Callithrix jacchus: one gene and its partners. The protein of the gene in region 1 interacts with the protein of each later gene in a biochemical or structural test. Links are inferred from orthologs where the notes say so. Each region holds a gene or a part of one and is shown in the gene's direction. Other genes may lie near its edges. The genes, in order: KPNA1, STAT1, KPNB1 and NOSIP.

What was found.
Region 2: the proteins of KPNA1 (region 1) and STAT1 form a complex in vitro, tested with the Homo sapiens proteins (2 studies listed by BioGRID). The link is inferred for Callithrix jacchus from reciprocal best matches to the Homo sapiens genes KPNA1 and STAT1.
Region 3: the proteins of KPNA1 (region 1) and KPNB1 form a complex in vitro, tested with the Homo sapiens proteins (6 studies listed by BioGRID and IntAct, with this or other methods). The link is inferred for Callithrix jacchus from reciprocal best matches to the Homo sapiens genes KPNA1 and KPNB1.
Region 4: the proteins of KPNA1 (region 1) and NOSIP form a complex in vitro, tested with the Homo sapiens proteins (2 studies listed by BioGRID). The link is inferred for Callithrix jacchus from reciprocal best matches to the Homo sapiens genes KPNA1 and NOSIP.

The regions. Positions count from the first base shown.
Region 1 is NC_133516.1:80,574,360-80,581,420, forward strand, and holds part of KPNA1 (importin subunit alpha-5), read left to right. Parts: intron 1-2,407; coding exon 2,408-2,539; intron 2,540-3,648; coding exon 3,649-3,737; intron 3,738-4,106; coding exon 4,107-4,206; intron 4,207-6,149; coding exon 6,150-6,313; intron 6,314-7,061. UniProt on the Homo sapiens protein: Functions in nuclear protein import as an adapter protein for nuclear receptor KPNB1. Binds specifically and directly to substrates containing either a simple or bipartite NLS motif.
Region 2 is NC_133507.1:37,805,868-37,812,928, forward strand, and holds part of STAT1 (signal transducer and activator of transcription 1-alpha/beta), read left to right. Parts: intron 1-1,078; coding exon 1,079-1,157; intron 1,158-2,219; coding exon 2,220-2,311; intron 2,312-2,523; coding exon 2,524-2,675; intron 2,676-5,286; coding exon 5,287-5,445; intron 5,446-6,484; exon of another isoform or gene 6,485-7,061. UniProt on the Homo sapiens protein: Signal transducer and transcription activator that mediates cellular responses to interferons (IFNs), cytokine KITLG/SCF and other cytokines and other growth factors.
Region 3 is NC_133506.1:118,625,651-118,632,711, reverse strand, and holds part of KPNB1 (importin subunit beta-1), read left to right. Parts: intron 1-702; coding exon 703-894; intron 895-1,712; coding exon 1,713-1,843; intron 1,844-2,975; coding exon 2,976-3,123; intron 3,124-3,412; coding exon 3,413-3,484; intron 3,485-5,186; coding exon 5,187-5,331; intron 5,332-6,870; coding exon 6,871-6,953; intron 6,954-7,061.
Region 4 is NC_133523.1:43,339,709-43,347,565, reverse strand, and holds the start of NOSIP (nitric oxide synthase-interacting protein), read left to right. Parts: upstream 1-1,625; 5' UTR 1,626-1,667; exon of another isoform or gene 1,668-1,860; intron 1,861-7,857. UniProt on the Homo sapiens protein: E3 ubiquitin-protein ligase that is essential for proper development of the forebrain, the eye, and the face. Catalyzes monoubiquitination of serine/threonine-protein phosphatase 2A (PP2A) catalytic subunit PPP2CA/PPP2CB.

The DNA.
Region 1 (7,061 bases):
CCTCTTTTTCTTTGTTATAGATGGCATGTATGCTGATCTTATTTTTTTCAGGTTACTTTTCCTTACAGTTTTCATTTCTTTGACTTGATATTTGCGTATCTGTTGTGTTTATTCAACTTTCAGCCTGCCTTGTGGTGGGACAGTTTGATTTTATACTTACATCATATGACTCTGGTTTACAAATTAATTTTCCTTGTCGTCAAAAGAAAACTACATTTTAGGTGAACTTGTTTTTTCTTTTTTAGTATAAATAATCTGGCATACTGTTATTTAAAATTTCTTGCACTAGATATCCAAACTACAAGCAATTGAAATATTTCTGTGCCAGCATTACGTATTAGAGAGGAAACTATGACTGGGCTTCATAATGTATTAGATTGAGTGGCTGGAACTTAGCCGTTCTCCTTACCTGTGTAACATTACTTGAATCATTAAATTGTTGGATTTTTTTCGGATAGTTTCCTCATTTGTACACGAGAAAAGCCAGATACCTTACCTCTCTGGGTTGTTGTAGGGATCATCTGCGAGTATGTGAATAGTGCCTTGAGTATATAAAGTATGGTACAGATGTCAAGTTGTAATTTAGGCGTACTGAAACAGTCTGAGTGTTGCTTTCATTAGGAATTTAATTATAGAGATGAATATGTGAAGAGTTTTTATTTCATGATATTTGGGGTTTAATCTGAAAATTCAGAATTTATGTCATAACAAAAAGCGACCAGATGTGGGCTCTTTAACAGAAGTGCTTCTCATCTGGGCCCCCCTGCTACTACTAAACCACCTTACCTCAATCATTATGTCACTTTAATAGTTTTCTTTGGAACATCCATTTATTATGTTTCTTCTGCTGTTAATTTTCTATCGTTATATATCTTTGAATGTGATTTGATCAGATTGCCCATTTCCTCTGACTTTGTCTATTCCCAAAGATTAATGAATTTAGTTTTCTACCTGTCAGCTGCCTTTTAGTTAATCTCAAAGCTTAGAGGAATCACAGGTCATTTAATTATGACTTGTTATTTTCTCTGATTTAAAGGACATACCATGGATTTTTTTTTTCTGTGTATGTGCTGTATTAAGTAGAAGACAGAAAGGTGGAAGAAACAACCTGAAATGTAATTAAAAACTCTTAACTAAATAGAAAAGAGTTAATTCTCAGATTTCTGAATATTAGTCTAAATAGTCAATTTAGTGTTAGAGATATATTTGAGTAGTATGCTCTATTTTTTGTTGGTCATAATTTTCTTTATGTCTTCTGTTTACCAGTGCTGTAATGCTGCATATCAACCTTTGGTCAATTTACCTTCGTTTTTTTCAATCCCTGTTAAGAATGCTCTTTTAAAAAGTCCTATCTCTGTACTTTGGTTTGGATTTCTCTCATTTATGGGAAGCTCTTATGCTTTGAAGTTGTCATTTCTTTTCATTATATGCTTAACTCCTTTGACCTGCTTAACATTTGATACCTTTTGCTTTTCTCACTGTGCCTGTACATTATGTTTTACACTAACATTTTCTCCCCATTTTACTTTGCCCATTCTACAGAAGTTTTAAAGTTTTTTTTATTAGATAGCATGCATGGTACAGGCCAAAAGGCACATAAGGCTTTCCACTGATAAGTGTTTTTTTCATCCTTGTTCCCTAGTTATCATGACCTTTCCCTGCAGCCAACAAGTATTTAGTTTCCTATAACTCCTTCTAGAGATAATCTGTGCAATTAGTAAGTTAATGCATGTATTCCTTGTAATACTTTTAGAAAATGTGGGGCCGGGTGCGGTGGCTCACACCTGTAATCCCAGCACTTTGGGAGGCCGAGGCGGGTGGATCACGAGGTCAAGAGATTGAGACCATCCTGGTCAACATGGTGAAACCCCGTCTCTACTAAAAATACAAAAAATTAGCTGGGCATGGTGGTGTGTGCCTGTAATCCCAGCTATTCGGGAGGCTGAGGCAGGAGAATTGCCTGAACCCAGGTGGCAGAGGTTGCGGTGAGCTGAGATCGTACCATTGCACTCCAGCCTGGGTATCAAGAGCAAAACTCCGTCTCAAAAAAAAAAAAAAAAAGAAAGAAAATATGGTATAATGTCATATTAATGTACACTGTTTGCATTTTGTTTTCGTTTATATCTTTGCAGATCATTCCATATCAACATTTGTAACACTGTCTCATTCTTTTTATGGTGTCATGTCCACTCTATCTTGAACTGAAATTTCAGACACCCTGAATATTCTTCTAGGTTGAGGTGTTTCTTCTGGAAATTCTTTTAAAATTAATATAGTACTCAACTGATAGGTTATGTGTAAATAATGATCTCAGAATCTTTTTTTACATGTTCAGAAAGAGTTACTGTTATAAGTAAAAAAGCTTTACATTCTCAAAAGATAATGAAAATTATTTTTATCTTTGTAGTTTGAATCAGCTTGGGTACTGACAAATATTGCTTCAGGAAATTCTCTACAGACCCGGATTGTGATTCAGGCAGGAGCTGTGCCCATCTTCATAGAGTTGCTCAGCTCAGAGTTTGAAGATGTCCAGGAACAGGTAAAAATGAAACAGAAAGAAGCAGGTGAAAGAATAACATTTTTCCCTTCAATCATATTCAGGGATTGAGTTTTACCAGTTGGCTTTGATAATCTATGGATTGTCACAAAGGAGTGTTCTAGAAATCTAGTCTTAACCAAATAGAAAATTTCTTAGTGAGTGTAGGCAGAATTTTTCTTAGACACATAAAATAATCTTCCCCTTCCAAACCTGACATTCTTTAAGCCCTGAGTATGTACTTTCTAAACCTTGTAAGCAGTTACTAGTAGAGGTTTTTGCTTGTAGAAATTTCCAGTGTTGAAAGTAGGCCAGGCACTGTGGCTCACACCTGTAATTCCACCACTTGGGAGGCTGAGGTGGGCAGATTGCTTGAGCCCAGGAACTCAACCACTCAGGGCAAAATGATGAAACCTCATTTCCACCGAAAAAAAAAATTAGGTGGGCATGGTGTTGCACACCTGTGGTCCTAGTTACTTGGGAGACTGAGGTGGGAGGTTCACTTGAATGAGCTCCAGGAGGCAGAGAGGCTGCAGTGAGCTGAGATCACAGCACCACACTCCAGCCTCGGTAACAGAAGGAGACCTAGCTCAAAAGAAAGTAGTAAGTTTTTATCACTTTTGTGCAGAAAATAGTTTGTTTCACTGTTTTATTTTGTAAGCCAGAAAAATACCTTTTTTTTTTAATGGAGTCTCTGTCACCCAGGCTGGAGTGCAGTGGCACGATCTTGGCTCACTGCAACCTCTGTCTCTCAGGTTTAAGCAATTCTTGTGCCTCAGCCTCTTCAGTAGCTGGGATTACAGGCATCTGCCACCACACCCGGCTAATTTTGTATTTTTAGTAAAGATGGGGTTTCACCGTGTTTTACTCGATACTGGGTGACAGAGCGAGACTCCGTCACCAAAAAAAAAAAAAAAAGAAAAGAAATTGGTTCTTTCCTTTAATAAACTGAATACCTTTAGTTTATTATACACTTTAGAATATTATTTATCTTCTTCCTCCAACCACACAACTGTTTCATTTGACTCCCTGATGAATGTGTTACTGTGATATACTGGCATCTGAAAGAATTAGAAGGGAGTACATAACTTTTATTAATGATTCTTTCACAGGCAGTCTGGGCTCTTGGCAACATTGCTGGAGATAGTACCATGTGCAGGGACTATGTCTTAGACTGCAATATCCTTCCCCCTCTTTTGCAGTAAGTTTCTTCTTCTTCCTTTTTGACAATAAAAACATAAGAGATTCCTCAGAAAGCAGTGCATCTCTGGAAATCATTTTGGATTTTCTGTTGTTATTTTTCATTCCAGACATTTTCTTGTTTAGATCATTTCCTCAGAAAAAAGGAAAAAACGAGGGGAAAAAAAGATCATTCCCTTAAGCACTCTATCTTTCTCTCATGTCAAAATTCTGAATTACTTGTATCAGAATTAATGAAGTTTTAATGTTCTGGGGAAAAGCTATCTGAAGACATCTCTTTATCAAAAGTACTATTACTTAGTATTTATATTATGTTTTCAGAGAATCAATGTCTATTATATAGTTTACCATTGTACCATCATGCTTATAGGTTATTTTCAAAGCAAAACCGCCTGACCATGACCCGGAATGCAGTATGGGCTTTGTCTAACCTCTGTAGAGGGAAAAGTCCACCTCCAGAATTTGCAAAGGTAAGGACTGTGCTTTTGGGACATTGGCAGAAAAAATGCAATTATAAGAGTATAGCAACCAATAGTAAGGTGAACAGAAAGATAATTTTTGTTAAAACTTAAAATGTTAGAATTTTATCTGTTTTTGGAGAAACAGGGTTTTTGTTTTTTTTTTTGGTTCCCTTTATTATTTGAAAAGCAAATTTAAAGCATAGCTTGAAGATGCACATTTATGTAGGGGCTGCAAATAAATAAAAGCATAGCATAAAGGGAGAATTTGTAAAGCTCATTGAAATGAGACTTCATACAATTAGTATACTGTATTAAGAGACTCTTCAGTTCTCCTAAAACAGTGGTTCTCAAAGTATAGTCTGGGAGTCCATGAGATTTTTTTTTTTTTTTTTTTTTTGCAGTAGGTTTTAGGGGAACAGATCAGGTGTTTGGGTACATGAGTAAGTTGTTTAGTGGTGATTTTTGAGATTTTGGTGCACCCATCACCCAAGCAGTGTACAGAGTACCCACTGTCTAGTCTTGTATTTCTCACCTACCTCTCATCCTTTACCCCAGAATCCCCAAAGTTTATTGTATCAATCTCATGCTTTTGTGCCCTCATAGCTTACATCCCACTTATGAATGAGAACATCTGATGTTTGGTTTTCCATTCCTGAGTTACTTTACTTAGAATAATGGTCTCCAGTTCCATCCAGGTTGCTGCAAATGCCGTTGTTTTGTTTCTGTTTATGGCTGAGCAGTATTCTATGGTATATATATCACAGTTTCTTTATCTACTTGTTGATTGATGGGCATTTGGGCTGTTTCCATAATTTTGCAATTGTGAATTGTGCTGCTGTAAATATGCGTGTGCAAGTATCTGTGCACGTTTGTAGCAGTGGAATTGCTGGATCAAATGGCAGATCTACTTTCAGTTCTTTAAGGAATCTCTGTACTATTTTCCATAGTGGTTATACTAATTTACATTCCCCTTTTCACCACATCCATGCCAACATTTATCGTGTTTTTGTTTTTTTGAGACAGGGTTTCGCTCTTGTTGCCCAGGCTGGAGTGCAGTTGTGCAGCACACTGCAACCTCCACCTCCCAGGATCAGGCGATTCTCCTGCCTCAGCCTCCTGAGTAGCTGGGATGATGGGCACACACCACCATGCCCGGCTGATTTTTGTATTTTTAGTAGAGATGGGGTTTCACCATGCTGGCCAGGCTGGTCTTGAACTCCTGACCTCAGGTGATCCACCCACCTCAGCCTCCCAAAGTGCTGGGATTACAGGCATGAGCCACCACATCCCGCCTGTTTTGATTTTTTGATTATAGCAATTCTTGCAGGAGTAAGATGGTATAACATTGTGGTTTCAATTTGCATTTCCCTGATAATTAGTGATGAGCGATGAGCATTTTTAAATGGTTTTTGGCTATTTGTATATCTTCTTTAGAGAATCGTCTGTGTCCTTAGCCCACTTTTTGATGGGATTGTTTTTTTCTTGCTGATTTGAGTTTCTTGTATATTTTGCATATTAGAAGAAACAGGATTTTTTTTTGGTAGTTGTTTTTAATTTGGAATCATTTTTCACTGAATTCATCTTAAAACCCTAGCATTTTTGGTCTAAAGTATCTAAAATACAGAATTTCTTAGCTTTCACATTTTTGAAAGTTTCTTTACCTCTTTAGTCCACAAAGAATGTGTTTTGACAAGGAATCTCACTCCAAGAATTGATGTATATAAAACTTTATGATCTGAAATTAATTTCCTTGGGCTCTGACTACAAATTAGTGCAAGACCACTGACAGCATTGTTAAAGATGGAACTGCCACTTAGGTACTTGTTGTTTCTTGAGAAGTGTAAATCACTCAAGAAGTCACCAAATTTATGCCTGGCTGCCTTCTTGAGTATCTCACCTCACTTCTGGCTTCTAGTCTGTTGGATTTCATAATCATCATTTTCCTTTTATAGGTTTCCCCATGTCTGAATGTGCTTTCCTGGTTGCTGTTTGTCAGTGACACTGATGTACTGGCTGATGCCTGCTGGGCCCTCTCATATCTATCAGATGGACCCAATGATAAAATTCAAGCAGTCATTGATGCGGGAGTATGTAGGAGACTTGTGGAGCTGCTGATGTAAGATATGTTTTAGAAAGTGTGTTCACTTTTTTTCCCTTGGTACTAGTTTTCTAGCTACTAATACTTAAATATTAATTGATTGTATATTATATTGGTTTATTGTGCTTTGGGCTACTATTTTTTGTTACTTGTTTATGTTGATGGCAGATCTGTTTGTCTTGTTTTATTGAGGCTTATAGAGAACCTCTTACTCCTCTGCTGTTAGCAGGCCTTTAGCAGAAATATTTGGAAAACTCTGATCTGTGTAGTTACAGTCTCATACTGGATGACCCGAGATCAACCACTGGACATCAGAAGATACACTGCCAATAAAATAGTCATTCCTTATCTTTCTGTCTCATTTAGAGCTTATTTAAGACAAGTATCAGAAACTGAATCTTACTTTGGTTTATCACCTTTGTGCTGCTTTTGATAATGCAGTAGAAGATTTACTCGTTAAATAAATAATTTGAGACTGTCTTAATCAAATTTTTAGATACGACAGAAGAAAAAAGTGATAACATAATGGAGAAATGGTACAACTACAAGCAACTGGAAATTTAATTAAAGTACAAAATAGATGCGAGGAGACATTGTCTCAAACATGACATTTGGAATAGATTAGATAGTTATAATATGTTAATACAAAATACAACATTATAGCTGGCTGCAGACTGAATGCAGAGCAGTATTGTAGTGCTAATGTGAATGAATGGCAGGCAGTATGATGCTGCAGGAGTCAGTACATCATTCAAAATCTGGGAAG
Region 2 (7,061 bases), on another chromosome or scaffold:
GCACCAGTATGGCCTTGACTTACATGCTTCAGGCAGCATCTTTCCAAACTCCACATTCTTTGGAGAACTTTATCCATTCTTTGGAGCAAATTCTCCTAGGGAAACATTTCATTAAAGTAGAAACTAAGAGAGCCCAGTCCAGAAATAGCCATGGAAATCCAGAGAAGAATATGTAGAAATGTGACCAAATCCCAAACAAACAAGGCTTATTTGTAGAGTGAACATACAATTTATTGTCCAGATGGAGATGCATTTGAGCCAGCAGGAGGCCACTGTTTATAGAAAGTATGAAACTAGGTCTCTGCCAGTAAAGCAGGGATGTATGGTCACTTTTCTTATTGGAAAGGAGTGAGAAGATTTTCCATGAGCTTTTTATCCCTGTTGTGTGCTTCATAGTGGAGTTCTTAAATCGTGTCTCAGAGGTACTTAAATTGAGTTACTTAAGTATTTAAGTAACTCAGAGTTCTTTCTTTTTTTTTTTTTTTTGAGACGGAGTTTCGCTCTTGTTACCCAGGCTGGAGTGCAATGGCACGATCTCAGCTCACCTCAACCTCCGCCTCCTGGGTTCAGGCAATTCTGCCTCAGCCTCCGGAGTAGCTTGGATTACAGGCACACACCACCATGCCCAGCTAGTTTTTTATATTTTTAGTAGAGATGGGGTTTCACCGTGTTGACCAGGATGGTCTCAATCTCGACCTCGTGATCCACCCGCCTCGGACTCCCAAAGTGCTGGGATTACAGGCTTGAGCTACTGCGCCCGGCCTCCGAGTTCTTAAATTGTATCTCTCAAAAATGAGGAGGAAGAATCAAAATATTGGCCCTGAAACCAGGTTAAGAACATACAAATCAGTTTGAGAATTATTATACATTTGCTTTTTTTTAAAGTGTTATTACATACTTGTTAATGAAATATAAGTAATTTCATGTATATGATTAGACCTCTCCAAGTCAGATCTCTTTTTGAGGGAGCTGGAACTGTTTTCACGTTTCTCGGGGTTCCATAGGAACAAAACTCTGTTTTCTAAAGTCTTTGGAAGTCGCTGATCAGTAGAAAATATGTTTATGTCTTTATTTGTAGTGTATAGAGCATGAAATCAAGAACCTGGAAGATTTACAAGATGAGTATGACTTTAAATGCAAAACCTTGCAGAACAGAGGTAAGGCTTCACAATTGAAGGGGTGCCCATTGGCTGTAATTTTTTCTGTTCACACTAGATAGCGAATATGATTACTGCTTTTTATTTGCCAATTATTTTATGACTCTGAATTGTTCCTTGATAACCCAAGCCAGGGTTCCTTAACATCCAGTACCATTCATGTTTTAGGGCAGATAATTTGTTGTGGGGGCTGTCCTGGCATTGTAGAGTGTTCAACAGCATCCCTGACTTCTACCCACCAGATGCCAGTGGCACTAGCCAGGAACCCTCACTAGTGACAACCAAAATTGTCTTCAAACAATGCAAAAAGTCCCCTGGGGTCAGTGACCCATACTTGATAACCACGGGTTATGTGTTACTCACCTTTGAATTGCGTGTAGTCCACTGATTCATGCAGAGTGACAGAATGTGGAGTTCCCCTGCCCTAATATCTGAAGTTTCTTCAAACATTGCAGGTCCATTGTATACATGGCAGATAAGCTCAGTATTTTTCTCATGTTTTAAAGCAGTGTTACTCTATTTTGTTACTGTTGCTTGTTCTTAATGAGAGTAGCAACCAAAGATAACTCAAGATTGTGTGTTGTACAGAATATGTGGTGTACTACTGTTACTATATTCATCATCTGGCGTATACAACGGTTCATAGGCAGATTATAAGTATGATTTGGGTAAAAAGTATGAGAGACAGCGACTTCAACTACCACTTTATAATCATCTACTTCTCTTCAAAACCTACAGATATGCTTTGCATACATTTTTTTAACTGCAGTTTTGAACTTTGTTATGTACGTTTATTTAGGAAATTATCTGCCAGTGACTGCAGTGGCAGATACTACTATGTCTGATTTAGATGGGTCACTGAAAACAAGCGTTCTGTTTCAGTGTGTCTAGTTGTTATCCTTAGGACTTGTTTTCATGTTTAATAAAGATGGAAGAAAGCCAAACTTTGACCTGTCTCTAGGCGGCATCTGTATCTATTTATCCTAAGTTATATTATCTTGGCTTTTGTTGGTTTTGTCTTATTTATGTAAATATATTTACTGGCTGTCTCTCAATTTATAGAACACGAGACCAATGGTGTGGCGAAGAGTGATCAGAAACAAGAACAGCTGTTACTCAAGAAGATGTATTTAATGCTTGACAATAAAAGAAAGGTAGTTATTTACTTTCCAGAATAGCATGCTGCTTTTGTTACAGACTATGCATAATGGACTCAATTTCAGAAGAGAGGAAACATTATTTTTTTAACCCCCTTGCTTAGAACCCCAGTTGAGAATGAAACGATACTTGCTTTTCTTTTAAAAAATATTTGAAAATTCAGTGATTAAAAATGAATTTATTTCACTATTTCTTCCACTGCCTTTAGGAAGTAGTTCACAAAATAATAGAGTTGTTGAATGTCACTGAACTTACCCAGAATGCCCTGATTAACGATGAACTAGTGGAGTGGAAGCAGAGACAGCAGAGCGCCTGTATTGGGGGGCCACCCAATGCTTGCCTGGATCAACTGCAGAACTGGTAAGATTCTCCAAAGTGGAAAACCAGCAGCTGACTAGCTAACCACATAAGCTCATCAATGCCCCTTTGAGCTGTGTTGAATGGACCTTGTCAAAATGTTGGTATAGAGTTTGATGTAGTCCAGCTTCTGCTTACCCTGGACACAGTCCCTTGGAAAGCACAGTGTTATTCATGACTCTTGCCACATTCAGCCACGTCTGCTTGGTGTGGAGCAGTCCTGTGCCATGGGATGTGTTGTTTGATTGTACAACACCTCAGTGACATGGTCATTATAGAACACAATTAACAACTTGATTCCTAATGTTTCATTCAAAACAAGATAGCTTGAGGCATTTTTCCAGGCTTACATGAATAGTTTGTCGGGAGTCATCCATCCAGTAATACTTATTAAATGACTACCACGTGCCAGGCACTGTACTAGGACCTGGGCACACAAGGATGAATGATTCTTGGCCCTTGGCAACAAGGACTTGTTGGTGTGGAGGAGGGATGTAGACATGGTAAAAATTCTGTGCAGTAGAAATTTCCAGGTGCTCTAACAAAAGGCCATCAGAGTTCTGAGGAGGACAAAGGAAAGCATCTCCAGGGAAGGTTTCATAGAGGAAATGGCCTTGCACTGACTCAAGAGTGACTGGGCTTTTTCCACGTAGAGGAGAAGTGCTTTCCAGCACAGAGAACAGCATGTGCAAAGGCACACATGTGGGAGCCTGAAGGGGCTGTCTGTATTGGGTGGCTGGAGAGTGATGTCAGGTGAGACGGGAAGAAAAGTGGACCTGGCAGGAGCTGCTGGAACCTAACGGTGGAGGTTCTCACACCATGCTAGGAATGGAACGGGGGCCGTGTGTACCCATACTGCTGAGCCAAGGCAGCCTTTTTTCTTAAGCAGGAGGTATATTTCTCTGATCTTTGATTTAGAAAGGGCACTCTAGCCACACAGCCTGTAGGACAGGACAGAGATAGAAAGACCAGTTGGAATACTATTCGCATATTAGTGTGGTCCAGGTAAGAGTCAACAGCGGTTGCACTTGGGATCACAGAGTGAATATGAAGGAATGGTGGCCTGGGCCCATTGTAAAGGGTCCAAGGATCGGAGACCTCACGAAGTTATTTTCTGTATTGCTAATTTTTTTTAAAAATCACAATTAATATTCAGCCATTTATTTTTATTCTGTGAATTGCCTGTAGGTGCCCCAGATTTCTTGTGGATTAGAGCAGAGCTTCTGAGCCCAGTACACGCCATGTGTCTTGAGGAATGCTGACACCCCTAAGCCTTTCGGGTGGCCAGAGAGGCCCTGGGGTGTGTAGAGCCCCCTAGTGGACCTCTTAGACCACAGGCGCCTCTTCTAGGGGACATATATGCCCTCTAGTTTTCCCACTGTGCTTTGTAAGGATTGTCGTTTTCTCTGTGTGCAGAGTTGGGGACACTGGTTTAGCATGTCCTCTGGAACTCAGGCAACTGTTATCCTGCCTTCTCCTTTCCTGACGAATGGCTGCTGTCCCAGGGCTTTGAACTGGAATCGAGAAAGTGAAGTAGATACTTTTCTCAGCGAAGAAGACACTTGTAAAAAGTTTTCTTCTGTCATTACTGCAAGCGAATAAAACTGTGTTTCCCCTGCCTGTTTTACTGTTAGCAGTTGACTGAAGGGAAGGAAGACTAAGAGCAAGTACTAGGTGTACTCACTGGCATTATATTTTTAGGGTCGAGACTGAGCATATGCCTTCTTTCAGTCGAGTGAAACCGGAATCGTTGTTCCTCCCTCACCTCCCGTCCTTGCTTGGCCTTGCCTCCCCTCTCTCCCACTCTGTGCCACATCTCTGACTGGTCCTGCCGAGACACTGCTTGCTGATGCTACTGTCTTGACAGAACCTGCAGTGGCTCCTCGCTGCCTCTTGCATCACCTGGAAGCATCTGCTTTGCTGTTTTCCCTGCCTCTGGCTTCTTCTTTCCCCTGCTTCAGTCACACGTCACCCAGAAGCCCAGCCCACACTCATCTCTCCTTACTTAGACCTCAGTGGTGTGCCGAACTTTTTGATCTAGGCTGTAATCATTCAGTCATGTTAGTTTTTCTCCTCAAATAACAAAGCTTCTAGCACTGGCACAAGCCTCTTTCCCCTTGTTTCTCCCTAGAGCGCAGAGCACAATATCCTGATAACATTTTGTGTGGCACATAACAACTTGTTGGTTTCCATAGGATATGGTTTGGCCATGTCCCCACCCAAATCTCACCTTAAATTGTAGTAATCCCTGTGTGTCAAGGGCAGAGCCAGGTAGAGACAATTGAATTGAGGGGGGTGGTTTCCTTCATACTGTTCTCGTGGGAGTGAGTAAGCCTCAAGATGGTTTTATAAAAGGGAGTTTTCCTGCACACGCCCTCTTGCCTGCCTCCATGTAAGATGTGACTTTGCTCCTTATTTGCCTTCTGCCATGATTTGGGGGCCTCCCCAGCCATGTGGAACTATGTGTCAATTAAACTGCTTCCTTTATAAAGGTCCCAGTCTCGGGCATGTCTATTAGCAGCGTAAGAATGGACTAATACATTAAGACTCCCTTGAATCCAGGCTGCTTCTGGACTGTTTCTCATAAAGACATCTGTGTCTCATACCTTTCCAGGTTCACTATAGTTGCGGAGAGTCTGCAGCAAGTTCGGCAGCAGCTTAAAAAGCTGGAGGAACTGGAACAGAAATACACCTATGAACATGACCCTATCACAAAAAACAAACAAGTGTTATGGGACCGCACCTTCAGTCTGTTCCAGCAACTCATTCAGAGGTAACTCGAGGGACATTTATTTGTACCTTCTGTAATCAGTTCTTACAGAGGAACATTTTACTGTAATTTGGATGATTTAGAAAGGTTTAGTAGGTTATATAAAATTTTTTTAGTGACAGTGACTCTTCCTGAATTCTTTGGTTATACCAGTGGCCCTTCACTCTTATGGCCACCTAGGCTGGAATCTGTAGACACCTTTCACTCTTCCTTCCCCTGTGACCAGGTCTCTGCCATAACCCTAGCATGTCTCACCACCTCCTCTCCCCTCCTCATGTCTCAGCCTCTTAAATCCTCTTTTCTGGACTCTTCCCCAGCCTCCCTACCAGTCCCCCATCCCAGTCCTTCCTCCCTATGTCCAGTGCTGTCCCTGAGCGGAGTTCCATTCTGGTTTCTCATCACCCTCTGATCCAAGTGAAGCCCCTCAGCTGGGCATTCATGGCCCCCCTTCTGCAGCGTGGACCTGGCTGACCACTCCATGCTTCATGTCCACACATGCCTCTTTCTAGGCAAATTTGACCTCTTGCTAATTCCTATAGGGGCCATGCTGCACACTTGCTTCTCAGTGCCTCTCCTGAGGATATGTCATCCTCCTCAGAGCCTTCTTTTCTTGTACCTACTTTCAAATTTGTATCATCCTGCAAGCTTCCGCTTGTATCTCATCATGAAATCTTTCCAAATTTCCCAAACAGATGTTATCTCCCTTCCTGGCCTACAGTCATCCTTCATTCCTCTCCTACTGTGCCTTTTGTTACATGGTTGTTATATATTTCTTTATATTTGTTGACTATCATAAGGTTCTGGACAGTAGAGACATGCTTTTTTCAACCTTTTCCCCCAGCAGGACCTAGCACAGTGCCTTGTGAATAGTAGGTGCTCTAGACAGGCTTAGTACATAGATAAATGTCACTGAGTGGAAAAGAAGGCTTCATATTGCAAACTTGACATAATAAAAATGTAATTTGTTTTTTAATGCAAACTTGAAGTAGTAAAAATGTACTTGATTCTGGGTGGAAGCGATAGCTGAGTGACGGCGGCTGCTGATTGTATTCTAGCGGACGGAGTTGGGGAAGACGTTTGCTCTCCTGGAACAGCCTATCCCATTCCTTTCCTTCAGTTGCCCATGGTGCAGAGAGTCAGGGCAGCTGTAGCAGCAAGGGTGGCTGTGGCAGTGGTGGCAGCTACAGTGACATGTCCACCATGAATCCCAAATACAATTATTTATTCAAGTTACTTCTGCTTGGCAACTCTGAGGTTGGAAAGCCTTGCCTCCTTCTTAGGTTTTGCGGTTGATACATATACAGAAAGCTACATCAGCACAATTGGTGTGGATTTCAAAATAAGAACTATAGAGTTTCATGGAAATCAATCTTCAAATATGGAAGACAGCAGCCCAGGGACGATTTTGAACAGTCGTTTCCAGTTATTACAAAGGAGCCAGTGGCATCCTAGTTGTATATAATGTGACCGATCAGGAGTCCTTCAATAATGTTAAACAGTGGCTGCAGAAAATAGATCGTTATGCCCGTGAAAACGTCTACAAATTGTTGGTAGAGAACAAGTGTGATCTGCCCACAAAGAAAGTAGCAGACTATACAACAGCAAAGGAATTTGCTGAT
Region 3 (7,061 bases), on another chromosome or scaffold:
CCAGCCTGGGTAACAAGAATGAAACTTCGTCTCAAGGAATAAAAGGAGTTTATTGTACTTGAGTTTAGTGCTTAAGGAATTCAGTCTTTCTGGATATAGCCGGATGCCTTCATAACTGTATCCTGGGAATTTTGAGTAATTCTTTTTTTTTTTTTTTTTTCTTTTTTTGAGATGGAGTCTCACTTTGTCACCCAGGCTGGAGTACAATGCTGTAATCTTGGCTCACTGCAAGCTCTGCCTCCTGGGTTCAAACAATTCTCCTTGTTCAGCCTCCTGAGTAGCTGGGACTACAGGCACCCACCACCACGCCTGGCTAATTTATGTATTTTTAGTAAAAACAGGGTTTCATCATGTTGGCCAAACTGGTCTCGAACTCCAACCTCAAGTGATCTGCCTGCCTTGGCCTCCGAAAGTGCTAGATTAAAGACATGAGCCATCATGGCTGGCCCTCTATCTAAGTAATTCATTGCAGACTACTGAAAGCATTTACACCTAATTATTAATACAAAATTCTGAACTGGAGTTTTGAAAGTTATTTTCAAATATTTTGAAAGATATTTCACACCATCTCTTGTAAAATTACAGAAGGATCTTGGTGACTTTTTTGAGTTAACCCATCCATTAGTATTTCTTTTTCTGAGGTAGCAGTTAGCATGAATTTTAATTTTTGTTTTACTTTGCTAATAATTGTTATATTTTCAGGCTATGCCCACCCTAATAGAATTAATGAAAGACCCCAGTGTAGTTGTTCGAGATACAGCTGCATGGACCGTAGGCAGAATTTGTGAGCTGCTCCCTGAAGCTGCCATCAATGATGTCTACTTGGCTCCCCTGCTGCAGTGTCTGATTGAGGGCCTCAGTGCTGAACCCAGAGTGGCTTCAAATGTGTGCTGGGTAAGGGATTTTGTTCCTGGTGAGAAAAGGAGCTTGCCCGCACCATTGGCAAGAAAGTAGAAGGTGTGGGAGAGAAGTGGATCTGCCTCACTGGAAGGCTTTTTTCTGAATAGCATTTTCTTTCTAATTTATTCAGTTAAAATGTGGGGGAGATTTCAACTGCAAGAGCCAGTGGGAGCAGTTGACTCATGGTTACCGGTTCCTGAACCACTTAAAACAGTCATGGGAACCCAGTGGGGAAACTATCTGGACTTGGCTTGCTTTCTTAAATTACTTGGGGACAAAAAGTTTTGATTAAGGTAGAGAGTTGTTGGCTACAAGAACTATAATTGCTGAGAAGAGAGCAAGCGGGAAGGAAGGTAGGTAGCCTCAATGCTGAGTCAGTATGGCCTAATGTAATTTGTTAAGGGGAGGAGGTTCAAATAAGGAAGGAATGGGGCTCAGAGTCTTTCTGTGAATGGACACAGACTAAATGAAATGGCAGTTATTGCTGAAAGTACTCTGATGCTTAGAGAGTTGTCAGATTATCAGTTATCAGACAGGATTTTTGTGATTGAAAGCATAAGAAATGAAATGGCAGTTGTTGCTGAAAATACTCTGCTGCTTAGAGAGTTGTCTGATTATCAGACAGGAGGAACAGAAAGTACAAATCAAATAGTTAATTTAAAAGATACCTGTAAAATGTTGTCTTGAGATGACCTTACCAAAAAAAAATTGGAGGTTCACTGACACAGCCCGAAAGTATCTTAATGAAAAATGAGATAATCCTAAGGTGTTGGGTTATTTCAGAACTAACATTAAACTTACCTGCATTTCAGGCATTCTCGAGTCTGGCTGAAGCTGCTTATGAAGCTGCAGATGTTGCTGATGATCAGGAGGAACCAGCGACTTACTGTTTATCTTCTTCATTTGAACTCATAGTTCAGAAGCTCCTGGAGACTACAGACAGGTAACTGATATTCCATGAAAATGAGGGACATCTTCGCATCTAAGTTCTGGTGCCTTCTGTGTGGAGGAGATATGTAGCTTAATTATAGAAGCATAGTGAGAAAGGACACGACTCTACCTTCTCTCTCTCTCTTTTTTTTTTTTGAGACGGAGTTTCGCTCTCTTTACCCAGGCTGGAGTGCAATGGCACGATCTCGGCTCACCACAACCTCCACCTCCTGGGTTCAAGCAATTCTTCCGTGTCAGCCTCCTGAGTAGCTGGGATTACAGGCACACACCACCATAGCCAGCTAATTTCCCCGACAACTACCATATTTTTATATGGGATCAAGAACTTGGGGTGAATACAGTTGACTTATAAACAAGCTTTTGAAATGTTGTTTAAAGGGGATTATAAGTTGGAGACAACCTTTAATGATTCATGCTTTATGTCAGCTATACCTAAAGTCATGAACAAAGTAAACCTTCAGGAAGGGAGCTGAGCACAAAATGTTTTTTTTTTTCCTTTAGTTTTTGAGACAGAGTCACGCTCCTGTCACCGAGGCTGGAGTGCAATGGTGTGATCTTGGCTAACTGCAACCTCCCAGGTTCGAGTGATTCTCATACCTCAGCCTCCCACATAGCTGGGACTACAGGTGCCCACCAATGTGCCTGGCTAATTTTTATACTTTCAGTAGAGATGAGGTTTCACCATGTTGGCCAGGCTGGTCACAAACTCCTGACACCTCAGGTGATCTGCCCACCTCGGCCTCCTAAGTTCTGGGATTACAGGTGTGAGTCACCTGTACCCAAGAAAATTGGGGTATTTTCTTCATAGCTATTCAGACAACCTGTTAAATTGTTAACATGGTTCTTTACCATTTCAAACCATTTTTCCCTCTGTAATTTTAGCTCATTTCCTAAAGGACCGTTCTAAATTTTAGCTGTCTGGAGACCATAATGAACATAACTGTTGGCTCAAAGGACTTGAAGATTTGGTTATTAGATATTGTGTTTCCAAACTCAAACCATGTCTGCAGTCATACCAGTTTCTGAGTTCTTATTTCTGGCAAGACAGTGTCTATATTCTCTGTATTATTCTCTGTCCTTTCCCCTCAGTTGAGCCTTTAAGATTTTCGCTGTGTTCTTTACAGACCCGATGGACACCAGAACAACCTGAGGAGTTCTGCATATGAATCTCTGATGGAAATTGTGAAAAACAGTGCCAAGGATTGTTACCCTGCTGTCCAGAAAACGACTTTGGTCATCATGGAGCGACTGCAGCAGGTGCTTCAGATGGAGGTGAGACCTAAGAAGGCCCCTGACTATGGGTGGGAATAGGGCAGTACTTTGGACACCTAGGTCTATTTTCCAGACTGTTCTGTCTTTTTGGTGTTTATATATTTTCTCAGAAGGATATGAAGTTTATTTAAAAAAAATTACACCTTAACGTTAGCATTGCTTGTCATGGTTTACTCAGACATGTGTTATATATATTGTGGGTTTGTTGTTGTTGTTTACTTTCCTGTGTTGGCATTAGGGAAGATTATTGAATGGTTACGTAGAGTATGTTTTCTTCTTTTCCTTGTAGTCACATATCCAGAGCACATCCGATAGAATCCAGTTCAATGACCTTCAGTCTTTACTCTGCGCAACTCTTCAGGTATTATGGTGCTATATCATTTCTTAGTAACTCCAGGAAAGATAATTAATATCTCAGTATGACAAGTTCATGTATACACAGAACTCAAAAATGGTATCGATGATGCTGATCAGAAGCTGTTCTCAGAAGACTTTGGTCTGTGATTGATGAATTGGGAGAGGAATTTCCCACCGGCCTTTCCTCACTGTCTAGAAAGATTCAAATCCTACTTTATTTATAGATGGTCTAGATATAATCTTGATAAACTCAAATCAACTTGACTTCTCCCAACTCAGTGTACACTCATCAAACCTCCCTTCCTCACTCTTGTTTGTTTCAACTAATGTCTCAGTGTAGAGAAGTAAACTACTTGATGTTTGATGGTTCCTCCCAGCTGTATAGCTGGTTTGTGTTGACAGCTTGAATGGTTTTGGTTTTTTGATTTTGAAAACCAAAAGAACTCTTGGTTTTTAATTAAGTTATTCGAGCCTAGCTCAGTCATATTTGGTTCCCAGCTATAGTTCACTTGACTAAAAATAAAGCCTTGAGTTTGTACCATCATCTTTTGAAACATTTGCTGTTTGACCTATTGTCAGTGACATTAATTGAAACAAGAAGAAGGAATGTTTGATGAATGTATATTGAATTGAGAGAAGTCAAGTTGGTTTGATTTTTATCAAGATTATTTCTAGACCATCTGTAAATGGGTAGGATATAGGAAGGGTTGCTTTTTGTTTGTTTTATTAAAAAGAGCTCTAAGGTAACAGGGCTTTTTTAAAGCTCAAGTAATTTAACTATCTAGTAAGACTAGACTATGGAGGCTACCAGCATGGATTTGTCAGACACTAAGGCAAATAAAATGCAGACATGACCTTCTGCACAATGGAGGATCAGCTCACATTGGTTCTGAATTGAGAAATTCAGAAACTGGGGAATGTTAAAATGTATTGCTGGCTGGGCACAGTGGCTCACCCCTGTAATCCTAGCATTTTGGGAGGCCAAGGTGGGTAGATATCTGAGGTCAAGAGTTTGAGATCAGCCTGGCCAACATGGTAAAACCCTGTCTCTACTAAAAATACAAAAATTAGCTTGACACAGTGTGTTGTGTGCCTGTAATCCGAGCTACTGGGAGACTGAGGCACAAGAATTGCTTGAACCCGGGAGGCGGAGGTTGCAGTGAGCCAAGATAACACCACTATACTCCAGCCTGGGCAACAGAGTGAGACTCTGTCTTAAAAACAAAAAAGTAGGGAGAGGGCTGGGTGCAGTGGCTCATACCTGTAATCCCAGCACTTTGGGAGGCTGAGGTGGGCGGATCAGCTCAGATTGGGAGTTCGAGACCAGCCTGACCAACATGGGGAAACTTTGTCTCTATTAAAATACAAAAAATCAGCCAGGTGTGGTGGTGTGCGCCTGTGATCCCAGCTACTTGGGAGGCTGAGGCAGGAGAATTGCTTGAACCCGGGAGGCTGAGGTTGCGGTGAGTCGAGATTGCGCCATTGCACTCCAGCCTGGGCGACGAGTTAAACTGCATCTCAAAAAAAAAAAAAAAAAAAAAAAGTATTGTTAATGATTGGTATTATCAGAGTTTTTTAGTATAAAAAGTACATTTGGCATTCACAAAAGAAAGTCAAAGGACTTAATTGATTTTTAAAAAGAAGGTATACTGTTCTGATTGGGAGATTGGGAATCAACTGATCTTGAACTCTTACTCATTTCACAGAATGTTCTTCGGAAAGTGCAACATCAAGATGCATTGCAGATCTCTGATGTGGTCATGGCCTCCCTGTTAAGGATGTTCCAAAGCACAGCTGGCTCTGGGGGAGTACAAGAGGATGCCCTGATGGCAGTTAGCACACTGGTGGAAGGTCAGTGAAAAATACTGTCTGGTCAGGGAATGTCTTTAGAATGCAGGCATTTCAGTGGCCTTAAATAATTGTCACCCAGGCTGGAGTGCCGTATCATGATCTTGGCACACTGCAGCTTCCACATCCTGGGATCAAGTGATTCTTCCACCTGAGCCCCCACCCCCACCCCCGACACACCAGTAGCTAAGACTACAGATGCACACCACCATGCCTGGCTAATTTTTTATATTTTTGGTAGAGACGGGGTTTCGCCGTGTTGCCCATGCTGGTCTCAAACTCCTGAGTCAAGTGATGCTTCTGCCTCAGCCTCCCAAAGTGCTAGAATTATAGATGTGAGCCACCATGCCAGGACGTTAAAGGATTTTTAACTACAGAAAGCATAGTCCTTCTACTGGGGCATGAGTCACTTCAAAGTTAGATTGAACTTAAGTGTAAATTTGTATAACTGCCTTACTGCCTTGTCAGTCTGTTTAAATGTGGAGTCAGTTTGCAGCTAAGATTGGCTGAGTGTTTTTTTGTTGTTGTTTGAAATGGAGTCTTGCTGTTGCCCTGGCTGGGGTACAGTAACATGAGCTAACCACAACCTTTGCCTCCCAGGATCAAGCGATTCTCCTGCCTCCGCCTCCTGAGTAGCTTGGATTATAGGCATGAGCCACTGTGCCCAGCCAAAAGTTTCTATTTTCTTCCTTTTTTTACCTTCTATTGCAATCACCTGGTTTGGGTTGTAATGCTTTGGGCTCAGATTGACACATCATGGTGCCTGGTATGGGATGAAATGAAGCATTGAGCACATTCTAGGAATTGATTTTCTGATTTTTACATGTGTGACTGCGACATTGCTTTAGGGAAGCCATATCTGACTTAAGACTTTTTGAAGGGCCATTACAAAGCACTTAGAATCTGGAATGCCTCTTCAGGGGTGGCTTATAAGTACATTACTAAGGCCATTTACCTAAGGACCACTCTCCTGAGGACCAGACCTATTTTTGGCATAAACAGTCTATGTCCAACTGGTCTGTCAACATTTGACCACCCTTCTGAAAGGGCAAGGAAGTTAATTTTGGCTCCTGAGGTGGCTGATTTGGATCTGAAGCCCAGTGCTGCTTTTCCTTACCGTGACTTGTTAAGCCCTTGATGGGATTGCTGAAGGACCCTGCATTGAAGCTGGTCTGCAGAAAGGACACGCTATTATCAGATGAGGGGGTGGACAAGAGGCAGTATTGCTGGTTTAGCCCATTTAAAATTAACCTCCATATTCCTTGAGGTCCATACCTTTTTGTTGTGTTAGCCAGAGAAAAGCCCTATTCTGTGGAGAGTTAGCATTGTCTCTGTGGCGTAAGAATTAGGGCCTTTCCAGCAGTAATAAATGTGGCTTATGTAAGCCTTCAATGTCTTCATGATAGAATCCGTAACTGACTCACATTCCACCTGACCTGTTGAGTGGAGCCGAGTCCATTTTGGGAGAGGTAGGATGGGTTATTTTGGCCTACTCTGTTACCCCATGGTGCTGTCATTGACTAATAGTTTGTTTCATTACAGTGTTGGGAGGTGAATTTCTCAAATACATGGAGGCTTTTAAACCCTTCCTGGGCATTGGATTAAAAAATTATGCTGAGTACCAGGTAGGATATGCTTTTTAAAATAATATATTCTCATTTATACCTGAGAGTCACTGTAGTGCAGATAAAACCAGGTTCTTATACCTTAGGTAGTTTTTCCCTTATACATTG
Region 4 (7,857 bases), on another chromosome or scaffold:
AGCTCACTGTGACCTCCGCCTCCTGGGTTCAAGCGATTCTCCTGCCTCAGCCTCCCGGGTAGCTGGGATTACAGGCGCGCAACACCACACCCAGCTAATTTGTGTAGTTTTAGTAGAGATGAGGTCTCACCATGTTGGCCAAGCTGGTCTCAAACTACTGACCTCAAGTGATCGGCCCGTCTCGACCTCCCAAAGTGTAGGGATTACAGGCATGAGCCACCACACATAGCCAGGAATCCTATTATCCTCAATTTTAGAGGAGAGAAAACTGAGGTGCAGAGAGGTAAATTAACTTGCCCAAGGTCACACAGTGTGCAAGTGTGAGGGCCAGGATTTCAGTGAAGGCAGTGTCCACCAGAGAATAGAGCAGGGAGCTTATCTTTTTCTCCACTGTGTCTACAGCACCCGACCCAGGTGCTCATAAACATGTCCACTGGTGATCTGGACTCTTCCCTTCCTGGTAATTTCCACTTGTGCTTCTGTGTTCATTGTCACATCCATGCACAGACAACAAAGATTATGACAGAGGCAGAGGCCAGGGATTAAATATATTCTTGGGGGACCTAAGGGGGCAGGGGCCCTGGACTCCTAAGCCTAGGAGCCCCAGACTTCTGGGTCTCAGAGGGGCGGGGAACCAGGATGCCTGGGTCCCCAAGCCAAGCTCTTCCTCTGGGAACATTCACTTACCTGCCCAGACCTGTGAGCACTGCCCCTTCCACTTCAATCCGGACCTCCTTGGCTAGCTACAGCCACCTGTGAAGGGGGACAGGGAAGAGGGGAGGGTGGAGGAGGGGCGCCCCACTCCCGGTAACCAGGCCCGATCCCGGTTTCTGGCAGAGGGGCGGAGCTTGTTATTACCTGTCCTGGGCGGGACTCAGGTAAGGGACAAAGTATTTAAAGGGACCTTGGGATAAAGGACTTAAAGGCCGGAGCTCCCTGGGGGAGCCAAGGTGTCTAATACCTTGGGGCACTTGGGAGATGGGATTCGACCCTCCTCCTTTTTCCTCCCGACCCCTAACCGCTCCGCCTCTCCCCTGGGTGTTCGCCTGGCCAAGCTAGAAAAATCAATGTCTCCAGATATCAAGGTCTCTAGATATGCAGAAACTGGCGGGAACGATGTGCCGTAGTTCCTGGGACAGCTGACCAGTGCTGCAGTAAATCCCTGTTTCCTGAGGGCGACTGAAACGGCTTTCCCTTTCCATTTCCAATGGTTCTGTCCATAAAATGGGAGTGCAGTTGTCCCTTCTCCATTGTGTTTTAAGATGCAGCAAGAAAAGTGGATGATATATTTGGGAAAGAGGGCTTCCTAATCTCTAGGGGAAGTGGTTAGTCCTCAAATTTGGGCTTGGAGAAACTCAAAGCCTGGGCATCAAACAAGAAAAAACTAGCTCCCTGGGAAATGCCTAGTACATACTAAGCGTTCCCCATAGTCCCACCAGTTTCAATAACCGGAACCTTCGATTTGCCACTCACGTTTCCGGAGGGAGAAAGAGGAGACGAGAGGACTTGAAGAAGCCGGGCGAGGCACTTCCGCAACTAGGGGCACCTCTGCTTCCTGTGCCTTCGGCAGGGCGGAAGTGGGCGGAGCGGAGAGGGTAACCGGTGCTCCTTTCCGGTGTCCGGGCACAGTTGAAGAGGCGACCCAGGAACTGAGAGTCGTTCTTGAGGTGAGTTCGAGACGGTGTAGGAAGAGTGTTGCTGGGATCGCTTTCCTGCGGGCTAGAGGTCTGGGGTCTTGAGGGAGACCTGGGCAAGATTTTGGATTCCCGACTCCCTGTCGATCATTATTAATAGAGCTGTACGGGCGCCCCAAGTTTGAAGCTGAACTACACTCCCCTGGAGGTGGCCAACCGTCCATTGGTCAGTTCTCTCTCTCACTGTCACTATAAACTCAGCCAAGTGGTAGCTAGCAACGGCCAGTTCTCCGAGAGTTACAGTTCCGCTGTAGATGGCTATTTGCCGGCGGTCCCAAGGGAAACAGTGGACTGGGATTGCTGGGGGTCTAAGGAGTGGGAGTTGAGGGAAGAGAGCTCCTTCTCTGGTCTCAGTTTCCCCGACTGTGGTGGCACGGCGGGCGATACTAGATTGTCCAGTCGTCCATCGCCACCTTCTCTTCACCTTTCTGACAGTCCCTTCCCTCTCGGGGTGGGTACAGGGCTTCACGTTTTCCTGCGTGGAGCTTCCACGGGGTCCGGCAATCATACATTCACATTCTGATCGTGTGCTAATTCTGTGAACTTGGGGCTTGAGGGGGCCTTGAGGCAGTTGGATGTTAATGTTTTCTTATGAAGATGTTCAAACTTATATAAAAGTGAGAGAAGACATAGGAATTCCTGTCATCCAAATTTACCAATTATTATTTTGGCACTACTTGCTGTTTTTGTTTTTGTTTTTTTTTTGAGAGGGAATCTGGCTCTGTCGCCTAAGCTGGAGTGCAGTGGCACGATCTCGGTTCACTGCACCTGGTTCAAGTGATTCTCCTGCCTCAGCCTCTAGAGAAGCTGGGACTACACGTGCACACCACCACGCCCAGCTAATTTTTGTATTTTTTAGTAGAGACGGGGTTTCACCGTGTTAGCCAGGATGGTCTCGATCTCCTGACCTCCTGATCCACCTACCTCAGGCTCCCAACGTGCTGGGATTACAGATGTGAGTTACGGCACCCGGCGTATTTTTATTTTTTAACTTAAAGGATTAAAACAAATCCTAGGCATCATGACACTTCAGGATTGTCAAAAGACAAAATTACAACACATTTAGTGAGAAGATCTTAGTTGGCATTTATTTGTGAATCTAGAATGGGACATCAATTCTGGAAAATAGCACGAGTGTTCTCGATAAGCTGAGCAGAGGAGGAGGTTGTTTTCAGAGACAAAGGGCTGAGAAAAGCAGAAACAGAAAATGAAAAGCTAGTTGGTTAAATTGATTAACTTGATTAAATTTCTTAGTTAAGCTGGGCAAGGTGGCTCATGCCTGTAATCCCAGCACTTTGGGAGCCTGAGGCGGGCGGAGCACTTGAGGTTGGGAGTTCGAGACCAGCCTGACCAACATGGAGAAACCCTGTCTCTACTAAAAATACAAAATCAGCTGGGTGTGGTGGTGCGTGCCTGTAATCCCAGCTACTCGGGAGGCTGAGGCAGGAGAATTGCTCGAACCCAGGAGGCGGAGGTTGCAGTGAGCCAAGATCGTGCCATTGCACTGCAGCCTGGGCACAAGAGTGAAACTCTGTCTCAAAAAAAAATTATAAGTTAAGGGTTAAAGTAGAGGGGACTTCCTTTATCAGGTGGGCTAAAACTGGCCTGTTTGGGGATTTGGCTATTATTTCTCTCCTGATGTCTCAGAAGATCAGATGACAACTGAGTTTTGGCTTGGAAGCATGGACCTTCAGCATGAGTGACTCGCATTTTTGTTTGGTCTATTGAAGCTAGTGCAGGAGTTCGGTCCAAACCAATGGCCTCCTGTGAATTTTATCTACCAGGGTGCGTGTGTGTAAAAACCGGAAACACTGTTGACATGACTGCAATACTTTATCACAATACTTTTTAATCACACTTTACAAAAACAACCGTAATTCTAGGCTCCTGTCCACGAGTTGGTGCATAGTCAATCCAGGGTAACTGTGGGTTTGTTGGAATCAGGATGTAGTTAAGTGATTGCTACTGTCTTTGAAATCTCTCTTAATTTAGAACTGTTCCCCCTTCTGGCCCAGTTTGGTGGCTTTCACCTATAATCCTAGCACTTTGGGAGGCCGAGGCCAAGGCGGGTGGATCACGAGGTCAGGAGTTCAAGAGCAGACTGGCCAACATGGTGAAAACCCCGTCTCTACTAAAAAGTAGAGAAATCTGCTGGGCATGGTGGCATGTGCCTGCAATCCCAGCTACTTGGGAGGCTGAGGTTGGAGAACTGCTTGAACCGGGACCCGGGAGGTGGAGATTGCCGTGAACCAAGATCGCATTACTTCAGCCTGAGCTACAGAGCGATACTCCATCTCAAAAGAAAAAAAAAAAAGAACTGTTCCCCCTTCCACTCCAGTTTGTTTTTTTCTTGGTGAAATCAATTCAGTGAAGAAACTTAAGTCTAGTTCTGTTGATCATCCCACCATCTGAATTTGTCCGTTTGCTTTTTTTGTGGTCTTATTTTACTTGTTTCTCTTTTTTTATTTTAAACTATTTAAAAATAGAGATAGGGTCTTGCTATATTACCCAGACTGGTCTTAACCTCCTGGGCTCAAGTGATCCTCCTGCCTTGGCCTCCCGAAGTACTGGGATTACAGGTGTGAGCCATCGGTGCCCAGCCAGCCACTTTATTCTTTTGATGGCTGAATAATGTTCCTCTTGTTGCCCAGGCTGGAGTGCAATGTTTTGCTCTCGGCTCACCGCAACCTCTGCCTCCCAGGTTCAAGCAGTTCTCCTGCCTCAGCCTCCCAAGTAGCTGGAATTACAGGCATGTGCCACCATGGCCAGCTAATTTTGTATTTTTAGAGATGGGGTTTCTCCATGTTGGTCAGGCTGGTCTTGAATTCCCAACCTCAGGGCCTCCCAAAGTGCTGGGATTACAGGCGTGAGCCACCGTGCCCGAACTTCCACTTTTTACCTTTTATAAGTAACACTGCTAGCAACATTTGTATACAAGTTTTTGTGTGGCGTGAGCCACCGTGCCCGAACTTCCACTTTTTACCTTTTATAAGTAACACTGCTAGCAACATTTGTATACAAGTTTTTGTGTGGCGTGAGCCACCGTGCCCGAACTTCCACTTTTTACCTTTTATAAGTAACACTGCTAGCAACATTTGTATACAAGTTTTTGTGTGGACGATCTCGGCTCACCGCAACCTCCGCCTCCTGGGTTCTATTTTTATTTCTATTGGCAGTGGAATTGGTGGCTCAAAAGGTGAGTCTGTTTAATCTTTTGAGAAACTGACTTTTCCAAAATGGCTATACCATTTAACATTCCTACCACCAATGTATGAGGGTTCCAGTTTCTCCATATCTATACCAGCACTTATTATTATCTGTCTTTTTGATTTTAGTCATTCTAATTGGTATGAACTGGTATCTTTTACGGTCTTTATTGGCCATTTGTAGAACTTTGGAGAAATTTTTTTTTTTTTTTGAGACGGAGTTTCGCTGTTGTTACCCAGGCTGGAGTGCCATGGCGCGATCTCGGCTCACCGCAACCTCCGCCTCCTGGGTTCAAGCAATTCTCCTGCCTCAGCCTCCTGAGTAGCTGGGACTACAGGCACGTGCCACCATGCCCAGCTAATTTTTTTGTATTTTTCAATAGAGACGGGTTTCACCATGTTGACCAGGATGGTCTCGATCTCTTGACCTCGTGATCCACCCACCTCAGCCTCCCAAAGTGCTGGGATTATAGGTGTGAGGCACCGCGCCCAGCCAAGGGGTGTAAGTTTTTAATATATTCTCACTGCAATTCCCTTATCAGATATCCTGATTTTTTAAGAGGCAATGTCACTCTGTCACTCAGGCTGGAGTGCAGTGGTGCAGTGGCACAGTCATGACTCACTGCAGTCTCAACCCCCTGGGATCAAGTGATCCTCCTGCCTCAGCCTTCCGAGTAGTCACAGGCGCATGCCACTTTGCCCCACTAAGTTTTTACAATGTTTTTTTGTAGAGATGGGATCTTGCTGTGTTGCCCACAGCAAGTCCAAATCTGGTCTCAAACTTCTGGCTGCTGCTGGTTTATTTATTTATTTTTTGTAAAGTCACAGTTTCGCCATATTGCCCAGGGTGGTCTGGAACTCATGGGTCCGAGTGATCCTTTTGCCTTGGCCTCCCAAAGTGCTGTGTCCAGGTGTGAGCCAGAACCACCAGCAGATATCTTTTCTTTTTTTTTGAGACGGAGTCTTTTTCTGTCACCCAGGCTGGAGTGCAGTGGCCCAATCTCAGCTCACTGCAACCTCCACCTCCTGGGTTCAAGCAATTCTCCTGCCTTAGCCTCCCAAGTAGCTGGGACTACAGACGTGCACCACTATACCCGGCTAATTTTTATAATTTTAGTGGAGATAGGGTTTCACCCTATTGGCCAGGCTGGTCTTGAACTCCTGACCTTGTGATCTGCCTGCATCAGCCTCCCAAAGTGATGGGATTGCAGGTGAGAGCCAAAGCACCCAACCAAGGTATCTGACTTTTTAACTGCTACCTGTTTTTGTTCAGCTTGCAAACTAAGAATGGCTTTTAACATTTTTACATAACTGGTAAAAATCAAAAGAATGGACTTGGTGACCCATGACAATTATATGTGATTTTTTGTCAGAGTCTATAAATACAGTTTATTTTTATTATTTATTATTTATTTATTTATTTATTTTTTTGAGACGGAGTTTCACTCTTGTTACCCAGGCTGGAGTGCAATGGCGTGATCTTGGCTCACCGCAACCTCCGCCTCCTGGGTTCAAGCAATTCTTCTGCCTCAGCCTCCCGAGTAGCTGGGATTACAGGCACTCGCCACCATGCCCAGCTAATTTTTTATATTTTTAGTACAGACAGGGTTTCACCATGTTGACCAAGATGGTCTTGATCTCCTGACCTCGTGATCCACCCGACTCAGCCTCCCAAAGTGCTGAGATTACAGGCTTGAGCCACCGTGCCCGGCCCTATTTTTTATTTATTTTTTTTAGATGGAGTTTCGCTCTTGTTACCCAGACTGGAGTGCAATGGCGCGATCTCGGCTCACCGCAACCTCCGCCTTCTGGGTTCAAGCAATTCTCCTGCCTCAGCCTCCCGAGTAGCTGGGACTACAGGCGCACACCACCATGCCCAGCTCTTTTTTGTATTTTTAGTAGAGACGGGGTTTCACCTTGTTGACCAGGATGGTCTTGATCTCCTGACCTCGTGATCCACCTGCCTCGGCCTCCCAAAGTGCTGAGATTACAGGCTTGAGCCACCGCGCCCGGCCTTAAATACAGTGTAATTGGAACACAGCCAGGCCTGTTTGTGTGTCTGTGGCTCCTTTTATGCTACAGGGGCAGAGTGGAGTATTTACAGGGGCTGTGACTCTCCGGCCCTTTTTTGTTATTCCCTCCTGTAGAATCCGGAAACTGAATGTAACGGCTTGATTAAGTTTCAGTTCCGCTGTTGGGTGACTCCTTCAGAGCTGGCCCCTTCATTGTTGTGTACTGCCTAGGTGTCCGGTTTCAGGGGTGGTGAAATTCATCCAAACTTCAGGGAACGTTATATACTGAATGCCCCCCAGATTCGTCTGGCCCCAACATGATTATATTTGGAGGTAGAGCCTTCATGGAAATAATGAAGGTGAATGGGTGGGGCCCTGATTCATTGCTGTTTTTATGAAAGGAGGAGGCTGGGCGCGGTGGCTCATGCTTGTAATCCCAGCACTTTGGGAGGCCGAGGCAGGTGGATCACCTGAGGTCAGGCATTCGAGACCAGTCTGGCCAACATGGCAGAACTGTCTCTACTAAAAATATAGAAATTAGCTGGGCCTGATGGTGGATACCTGTAATTCCAGCTACTTGGGAGGCTGAGGCAGGAGATCATTGAACTAGGGAGGTGATTACAGTGGGCGGAGGTGCCGCCGCACTCCAGCCTCGGTGACAGAGTGAGACTCCTCAGAAAAGAGGAGACACCAGAGAGGTGGTTCCTCTGCCACTGAAGGCAGCCTCCTGCAAACCGGGAAGAGGGCGTCACCAGAACCCCACCATGCTGGCAGCCTGAATGCAGACTTCCAGCCTCAGAAACTGGAGGAAATCAGTCTATGGTTTGAGCCACCCAGAGTGGTATTTTATGGCAGCCGGAGCAGACGGAGACAGGCGGCAGCCATCGAAAACCACATCGTAAAGCTCCAACTATGTCTCTTCCCGTAGCAAGAATTAGCATCCTG